Tribolium castaneum: one gene and its partner. The main gene of each other region encodes a partner of the protein of the gene in region 2 in a complex. Links are inferred from orthologs where the notes say so. Each region holds a gene or a part of one and is shown on either strand. Other genes may lie near its edges.

What was found.
Region 1: scat (region 2) and Vps51 share a complex: the UniProt entries of both Homo sapiens proteins name them as parts of the golgi-associated retrograde protein (GARP) complex. The link is inferred for Tribolium castaneum from reciprocal best matches to the Homo sapiens genes VPS54 and VPS51.

The regions. Positions count from the first base shown.
Region 1 is NC_087395.1:17,182,627-17,187,183, forward strand, and holds the start of Vps51 (vacuolar protein sorting-associated protein 51 homolog), read left to right. Parts: upstream 1-1,526; 5' UTR 1,527-1,631; coding exon 1,632-1,712; intron 1,713-1,758; coding exon 1,759-1,893; intron 1,894-1,937; coding exon 1,938-2,764; intron 2,765-4,557. Other genes in the region: Ttd14 (TRPL translocation defect protein 14), read right to left, coding at 763-800, 859-926, 975-1,032. UniProt on the Homo sapiens protein: Acts as a component of the GARP complex that is involved in retrograde transport from early and late endosomes to the trans-Golgi network (TGN).
Region 2 is NC_087395.1:16,817,203-16,821,233, forward strand, and holds the start of scat (vacuolar protein sorting-associated protein 54), read right to left. Parts: upstream 2,801-4,031; 5' UTR 2,646-2,800; coding exon 1,469-2,645; intron 1-1,468. UniProt on the Homo sapiens protein: Acts as a component of the GARP complex that is involved in retrograde transport from early and late endosomes to the trans-Golgi network (TGN).

The DNA of each region.
Region 1 (4,557 bases), about 370 kb from region 2:
TCCACCTGTGCTATAATAAAATTTTTCCGCACAAAACCTCCACATAAATTCAACACTTGATTTATGATTAACATTGTCTGATAACAAAACACACCACATCACGTGTTCGAGTATACATTTCCGCCAATTTACAACATTTAAAACAAATCACGTTTTATGTTTTAAATTGATGCCAATCACTATCCTTTGTGATAAGTGATGAGATAACACAAAATGGCTTTACATAATCCAACCTTCTACAATTTATCTACAATATTGGATGATACTGCAATGTTTTGGGTAAAAAACATAATATTTGTTTTGGAACAAAAGTGAGGTCACTGGCAAGACCATAACTATTTATTTCTAATACCTAATTAACTGTGATTAAATTCATTAACTTAAAAAATAATGAAACGATTAGAGATATTGTTGGCCACCCATTAGGCCATTAATTTTAGCTCAAGTGATAAATTTAAAAACCACGTGCTCCCTGATCAGGGCAGAGATCCAAAACACAGTTGGGTATTCAAGAATTACGACCAGACTTTCAGACTCCACTAGGCCCCTATTTCTTGTGCATTTTGCATTAATTTACAAATTCAAAATTGGTTGGTAACAGAGTTGCCAACAGAAACAGTTATTTCGGACCACTCCGTATAAAAACTATAAACGGTCTTTTTGTGGTAAAAGGCCGGGTGCCAAAACACAATTTTATTATTTTCTGGGCTAAATATGGGAATATGACTCAATAAAACATTGGAAAACGCTGATGACACCTACCTTAGTAGAACTGAGGCGGTCTCCGGTACCCTGAAGACCTGTGGGAGCAATAAATTGGGTTGCGTTTTGGTAATAAAAAGTGAAAATTGGCGTTACCTTCCATCCCATATTTTCGAAAAACGTGCTCAGCCTGGCTTGACCGGTCGTTTTTCCGCCACATGGTCCTGTACAAACCCAAAATAATCTCGTGGAGGATCACATGGTCGACTTACCTCCTGTTAGGACAACTCTGTAACAGGTTTTATCGTTGCCACTGGTCGTTTTATCCATATTTCCGGTGTTTTGACGAAACTTAGTTTTTCCAATTGAATTTTGCTAGTATTCGAGAAGGTGATTTTGTTGTGAAAGGTGAAGAATGAAAATCAAAATTTGTAAGCACTAAAAGAAATAAACCGGGTACATGATCAAATTTTACTGTATATTGATTTCATGATTTGTTATTTCGCGAAAGCGACAAAGGCTGACACGCGACACCGCACAGACGCGGGACTAAAGAAATGTGAGCGAATTTGAGTCTTAAATAAACATCGTCGCTGATAAAATTACATTTTGGGGAGGGAGTTTCGCCGCAGAGGGGTGGCCACACTGGAATCAATACACGTGGTTCCCGTGGCGCAAACTTCGAATCCCTCGCCCATTTACGCAAAAAAACGACGCATCCTAAGCACAATAACGCCAACACAATAATAATCAATCACTTTGTATCGAATTTTATTGTAAATGAGAATTTTTACTGATTTATGAACTGTTTCGAGCTTGTGCACACTCTGCCACTAGCACACCTGATCATCTGTTTTGACGTTTTGGTGACAACAATACAAAAAATGTTTTTTGAGTTCTTTTTCAATTAAGTGTTCAAAAACCCAAAAATGGCGGAGAAAAAGCCCAGCCCCTTGGACCTGAACAGTCCCAGCTTCAACCCCAACATGTATTTGGATAAATTATTCAAAGTAACAATAGCCCCTTTTTCACCCTTGAACTGACACCCTCTTGCAGGAGTCCAACTTGAAGCAAATAATGGACCACGAGAGCGAAATCGTCAAAGACACACAAACCTTGCATTCCGACATGCAAACCCTAGTTTACGAAAATTATAACAAATTTATTTCGGCTACAGACACCATAAAAAAGGTATTGGTGCGTTTTTCTTTCCGAAAAGTGAATTAGTGCCGTAGATGAAAGTCGATTTCAAAAAAATGGAAAACGAAATGGACCTCCTCGCCTCAAACATGTCGTCAATTACGTCGTTTTCCGACCAAATTAACTCGACTCTTCAGGACACAAGGAGCCAAATTAGTAAATTGTCGGGGGTGCACACGCTTTTGCAGCGCCTCCAGTTTTTATTCAAACTGCCAACAAGCTTGAAAACTCGAATGGAGGAAAAGCGATACATTGAGGCGGTTCAGGACTATTTGCACGCCCAGCGTGTCTTGGAACAGTACGGTAACTTGCCATCCTTGCAAGGCATCAAAACCGACTGTGAAACCATCCTTATTGAGCTCAAAAAAGAACTGAGGAAGCACTTCAGTAACCCTCAAGCCTCGGCCAAGGAACTGACCGAAAGTGTGGATTTGCTCCTGCAACTGAACGAGCCGGCCAAAGAGTTGTGTTCTGAATTTTTGATTTGTGCCGAAAAACGTCTCAGTGACCAACTAGTCATGCTGAAGGACCAAAGCGAGCAACGGGACATTTCCGAATTTATTGATTTGGGTTGTTCGGGATTTTTGAGCGATTTGTGTCTGGTTGTGGCTTCCTTTGACGACATGTTTATCAATCGCAACAATTTGGATAATATCGAAAATAGTGATATTTTCGAAAATTTTGCTGCAACTGAACTCAACAACTTTGTTAAACAAAACATGGCGAAGTATTTCGATTTGGTGCAAAATAAAGTCGATTTGGAGCAGGATGTTGGAGATACGGCTGTTTTAGTTCAAGCCTTGGACCGGTTTTATAAAAGGATTGAAAGTAACACACTGTGCAGGGATGTGGATTTTTCGGCGTAAGTGGATAATCGTTTTAATTATTTTTTTGTTGGTAATTTTAAGTCTTCTTTTTAATATCTGAATTCTAGATTATAAACACTATTTTAAAACACGTTTGCCATAGCAACGTGTTTTGAATAAAAATGTCTTAACAAAAAAAAATTAATAACATTTATACGAAAACGCTGAAAGTTCTCGGGTGTCTAGGTATACACTCGCATACACTCGTTGCATAACGAAATTTAAGCTTGTGTTTTCGCACTCGTATTATTAATAACTATTTTTTTATGTTTTTGAATACAGTACAAACTCGTTTTTAGTCATTTTAATTTTTAACCAATCAAAACAATACTACAAAGTGATTTTAAATGACTTCTATTTAATTAATTTTATGGAAGTTCATTTATAAGTTAGTATAATACATCACTTCATTACCTAAAATTATTTTCAAATCTACAGCGGTCTTGAGAAATCAATTAGGTACAATATAAACATTTTTTTTATGAAATATTTTTTATTTTACTGAACGTAGCTTTCAATATTGGTATTTTTCTATAGACTTTTACTGTAGATTCCGCTTAGTTTTTGAAATGTAATCTAATTTTTTTTTGTGAAAAGTACTACACAAAAAGTAAAAATACGAGCCCTAACAACTAAGGGCCGGTTTATAAAAAGCTTTGTTAAAAGTTAATTCGTCGCTAAAAGTTAACAACGCGAATGGACCAATTAAATTTGTTCAATTTGGTCACGTGATCAGTTAATCACGCATTTAATTGCAGATTAACTTAATGACGTTTCTATAAACCGACCCTAAATGTTTGAAAGAATACATTTTTGTAAAGGAAATGCATGTCAAGCTACTGAATGTTTAAATTTAAAAAGGCATATTTTTAACGAATCTGTAACAGAATTCAGGCGTTTTATTGTTCCAAATATGTTCTGTTTTGTTTTTTAAATCTTTCAATTACCACTAAGAAAGATTTCTAGGATAACTTATCATTTTGTGCCAAAAAGACACAATGATATTGAAATCAGGGCTAATAGCTGGTCAAGGCATAACATTAATGTAAGAATTACCAAATTATTAATTCAAAAGTTTTGTGGTGTGACAAGAAGCACCTTTTTTTTTAAATAAACATACCTTCGGGAACGTAATAATTTTTTTTAGAATCCCATGAAATTGAAGGTCAAATAATAATACAAAACTGGATAGTCATATGTTAAATTTTTTAGCTCCTTACATTGCCAAGCGAAGTGGGAAAATTTCATCGTTTAATTTTTTTTTCTAATAACTTATTTTCTAATAACAAAGTTCAGAAAACACTTTAGTATTTAGTATTTAGTGAATTTCATAAGTTTGAATCCATACAAATTATAAATAGTATTGTTGTAATAAAACCAGTTTGATAATAAATAAATAAAATGAATAAAAATAAAATAAAACTAAATAAAAATAAAACAAGATTTCGTCCAAACATTTAGTTATTAGGGCTCGTACTACAGAAATCAGGTTTTCACATTTTTAAAGAAAGTTCAAACTTAAAGCTGTACTACTTGTACACATAGTGCAATTAAGAACTTAAAAAATTACTGTAATAAGAAATAATAGTTGATTTTTTTAATATCTTTTTTGTAAACACTTATTAAATGTTTATGTTATTTATTAGAAAGACAATTTGAAAGTATTTTACGAGCAAAAATAAGTAATACGGCGTTTCCTTTAAGAATTTTAAGTTATTTAAACTTTTAAAACTTTAAACTTTTAAACTTAAAAGAGAGTTCTTCATGTTTTTATCATCTCAGCTGTAAC
Region 2 (4,031 bases):
TTATTTTCGACCCAATTTAATGATTTTTCGGTTCAAAATACATGTTAAGAAAACAGAGCGTTGATCTGACTATTTTAGACGCTCGACAAATGCAAAAAATTGTATATTTTCAAAATAATTTGATGATTTTTCAGTTAATTTTTGATGAAATTTTGCTAAATAACTGAGTTTCTGGATGAGCATGGGCTAGAAATGCTAATTTTAGACTTAATTTCATGATTATTTAGAAAATAAAAAATTGCTCTATTTTTGAAGTATTCTGGAAATTTTATGGTTTACTTTTGACAAAATCTTCATAAATAATTGCGTTTCTGGCTCACGTATGTACAAGTATCTAATATTTTTGACCCAATTTAGTAATAACTTAAAAAACCTCACGAAAAAACTGAGTTTGTGACCAAAAACGTGTTTAAGCACTCGATAAAAGCAAATATAACACAAGTTTCGACACAATTCGAGGCTTTATTGAAGAAAAGTTTAAGCAAAATTTCATGAAAAAATTAGTACCTGAAAAAAATAACAAAAATAACAGAATTTTCGACCCAATTCGACGATTTTTCGGCTTATCTGTGACGAAAATCTAGTGAAATTATTGCCTTTCTGGGTGGAAACGTGATAATAAAACTCAAAAAAGTTAAATTCAGTAATTTTCGATCCTTAACCAATTTAGTGGATTTTTAGCTTGATTAATTAATAATTATGGATCTACTGCAAAAAAATTAAATTAAGTTTGAAAACGTGCATAAACTTTTGGACGCTCGATAAAAGCAAATATCACACAATCAAGCAAGAGCTTAAACGTTAACAAAAAGAAAAGAAACAAAATTTTCATCTAAATACGGCAATTACCAGATTACTTTTAACGAAATTTATTGAAATATGTAATTGTTCAGTAAAAATGACAAAGTACTCGAGAACTAAATTTAGCTACTTCAAAAAAAGTATGTGCAACCGTCAAGGTTTATCCGTCGTTTAGGCGGTTTTGAACGTCTTTGGGGCCTAAATAGCTGTCAAAGAAAAAATGTGGTCGTACCTTTTGTAGAAAATTTTATTCACCACAACTTTCTTTTGCACGTTGTTTTTGCATCTTTAAGCATATTCATAGCATTTTTAAAAATGTACGACAAAACGCAAGTTAATATAGATTTTTAACACTCCCTCAGTCCAAAATTATGATACACAACTTAAGTACAATTGAACAACATTAAAAAAAATAAAATATAACATAATTATTTTTCCTCATCATCTTTGTCGTGAAAATTTTAGACGTCAGTTTTTCTCAGCTTATTAAAATAAAAGTCTTGATGTGTTTTTCCCAAGCAGTTAGTGAACTACTTAAATTAATTAAAACTACTAATTAAAATTATGAAATCACTGTCACTCCGCTACACTAAATTTTGGATACAGATTATTTTGTAGTTACGTATTTTTCTCTCGAATTGTAATAATACATCAATCTTTTACCCACCCAGCGCTTCACTTGCCAGCGTCAGCACCCTCAACCAATGCGCGGCGTCCATACTGGGGGCCACCTCCCCCGACCCCGTCATCTCCATATCATCCTCAACATCCGCCAACTGTTCAATCAGCAACTGTTTGAGTAAAGTCTGAGCCGCAGTGACAGCCTCCTGCTTATACGTCTCCAAAAATTGCAAATTGTTCTGTCGCAACAGCCCCGCGACCAAACTAACCAACCTCTCCTGCTCCAAAACCCCACCTTCCGCCTCCAAAGGCCGGTGCAAATCGGCGGCAGCGTATCTCTCAAACTCCGTACTCAACATCTTATCAATCAACTTCGACATTTCTTTAAGCTGCGAGGGCAAGTGCCGCAGACTAGTAACCCCAGCCAGCTCCTTCGACAGCACCTCCTGGGTGCTCGAAATAAGTTCGAGGGCTGCGACGTAATCCGACGAGCTCAGGAGGAGCTGGAGAGTGGGCTGTGTTTGTAAAACAGTTGCCATTAACTTGAGCTTGTCGACGAGCTTGCCGTGGTTGGCCTTGGCCCTGGCCAGGCCTACGAGCTTGAGGGAGTCCTTCGCGAGGGTTTTGTCCACCTTTTGCACTTTCGAGCGCAAGGTTTGCACCTCCGTGTGGGCAACTCCCATCTGCTCCATGATGGTGTCGTGCGAGGTCATGGCGTGGAAAAAAGCCCCCGACTTTTGCGACACCTGCTTGGCAATTTGCACCTCGACGATGTCCAAGTAATGACTCAACTCCTCCTGCAGGACGTAGTCCTGGTCCCGGTCGTTTCCGTGGAAAACTTGCGCGAACACTGCGGGATCGTTCAGAGGGAAATGCTGCCGCAGGAAAATCTCGGGGATTGATTCGACGCTAACCTCGCCGTTGATGAGGTCCGCCTTCGTTCGAGTTTTCACATGATTCGCCTCGAGCTTGCTCTGGGAGAGCCGAATGTGCCGCTTGTACCGTTTGCCGATCTTGCGAACGTAGCCATCGAAGTGCGAGTAGGTTATTTCGGGCAGGAAGGGGCTTTTCTCGATTTGGGTCTTCTCGACGAATGTGTCGCCCCATGTCTTGACGAAGAAATTCGACTGTTTGCCGCGATTGGGGTCGTTTAGGACGGCCGGGAGGTTTTGAGCAGCGGAGTATAAGGACCACTGCTCAACAGCTGGCGTCATGTCACTCATAAGACCCGGGGGACTACCCCGTTTTGTATTTCTTCATTTTGGGGGACACAATTATTTGAGACACATCTGTATCAGGTGATAAAACCACTACTTTGACAACTCATGTCATGAAAAAATCAACTGTCAGGTTTAAACGTCAAATGACAGGTCTACCAATGCGATTACATGTCGGTAAAGACAGCACCAAAAATGGTGCTGACACCATGAACATTACAGTCGACCAGACAATCGCTGCGCGCAAACTTTTTTTTTCACCTACTTTATATCTTGCAATTTTCTTTATTTCTGCCGTAGATTAAGCCCTTCGACTGTTTTTTTCGAATGCTTTGGAAGCTGTTTCTGGTGGTAGCTCTTAACAGTGTCCCAAAGTAAAGCAAAAAAGAAGTTGTGAGTGTATACATAACAATTAAATATAAGGATACTTTTTGAAAAAAGGGTGGAAACAGTATTCAGAATGGTCCCCGAAGGGCGAATCAGTTATTACAGGAAATGAGGAAAATAGTAAAAATAATGAATAAGAATTTTGCAAAATGCTTTTATAGAAAAGTTGTTGTAGTTTATGTTTTATTACCTGGTAAACTTAACACACGTGAATACGCCCTTTATGAACGATTAAACATCCTTTTCTTGAAAATGTTTAACACGAAAAGTTCATTTTTGCCCTATATACATTTCAATAAATCGCACTAAAGTTTATGTCGTTGACTCAAGGTAGATTTATCTGCCCTTAAACACATTTAATAATAATTAATAACGCTCTAAAAGAGCACAAAATGCATAAAAGTGAAATTTTTAACGTTTCCTGTTGATAACATAACCCTACTTTTAAAACCGAATTTTCTGGAGACTTAAAATTAACACAATTTGTGGCGATACCACTAATTTTCACATCACCGGCTCGTTTGCACACATAAAAGGAGGAAAACAGTGAAAATAATAAATAAGAATTTTGCAAAATGCTTTTATAGAAAAGTTGTACTTTATGTTTTATTATATGGTAAACTTAACAACAGACGTTAACACGCCCTTTATAAACGATTAAACACCCTTTTTCATGAAAAGGTTGACAGGAGAAGTTCATTTTTCAATAAATCTCACTGAAGTTTATGTCGTTGACTCAAGGTAGATTTGTCTGCCCTTAAACATATTCAACAATAATTAATAACGCTCTAAAAGTGCAGAAAAGCACACAAAATCCATTAAAGTTACAATTTGACACTTCAGAAGGGAGCCTAATAACCCTAACACTACTTTCTGAAATTTTGTCTCTATCTGACAATAACACATAACAAAGGTAGAGATTTCGTCCCTAAATATCCTATCAAAACGCTCTGAAAGGGCAGAAATTGAAACAAAATTCATAAAAGTGTAAATTTTGCCATTTCC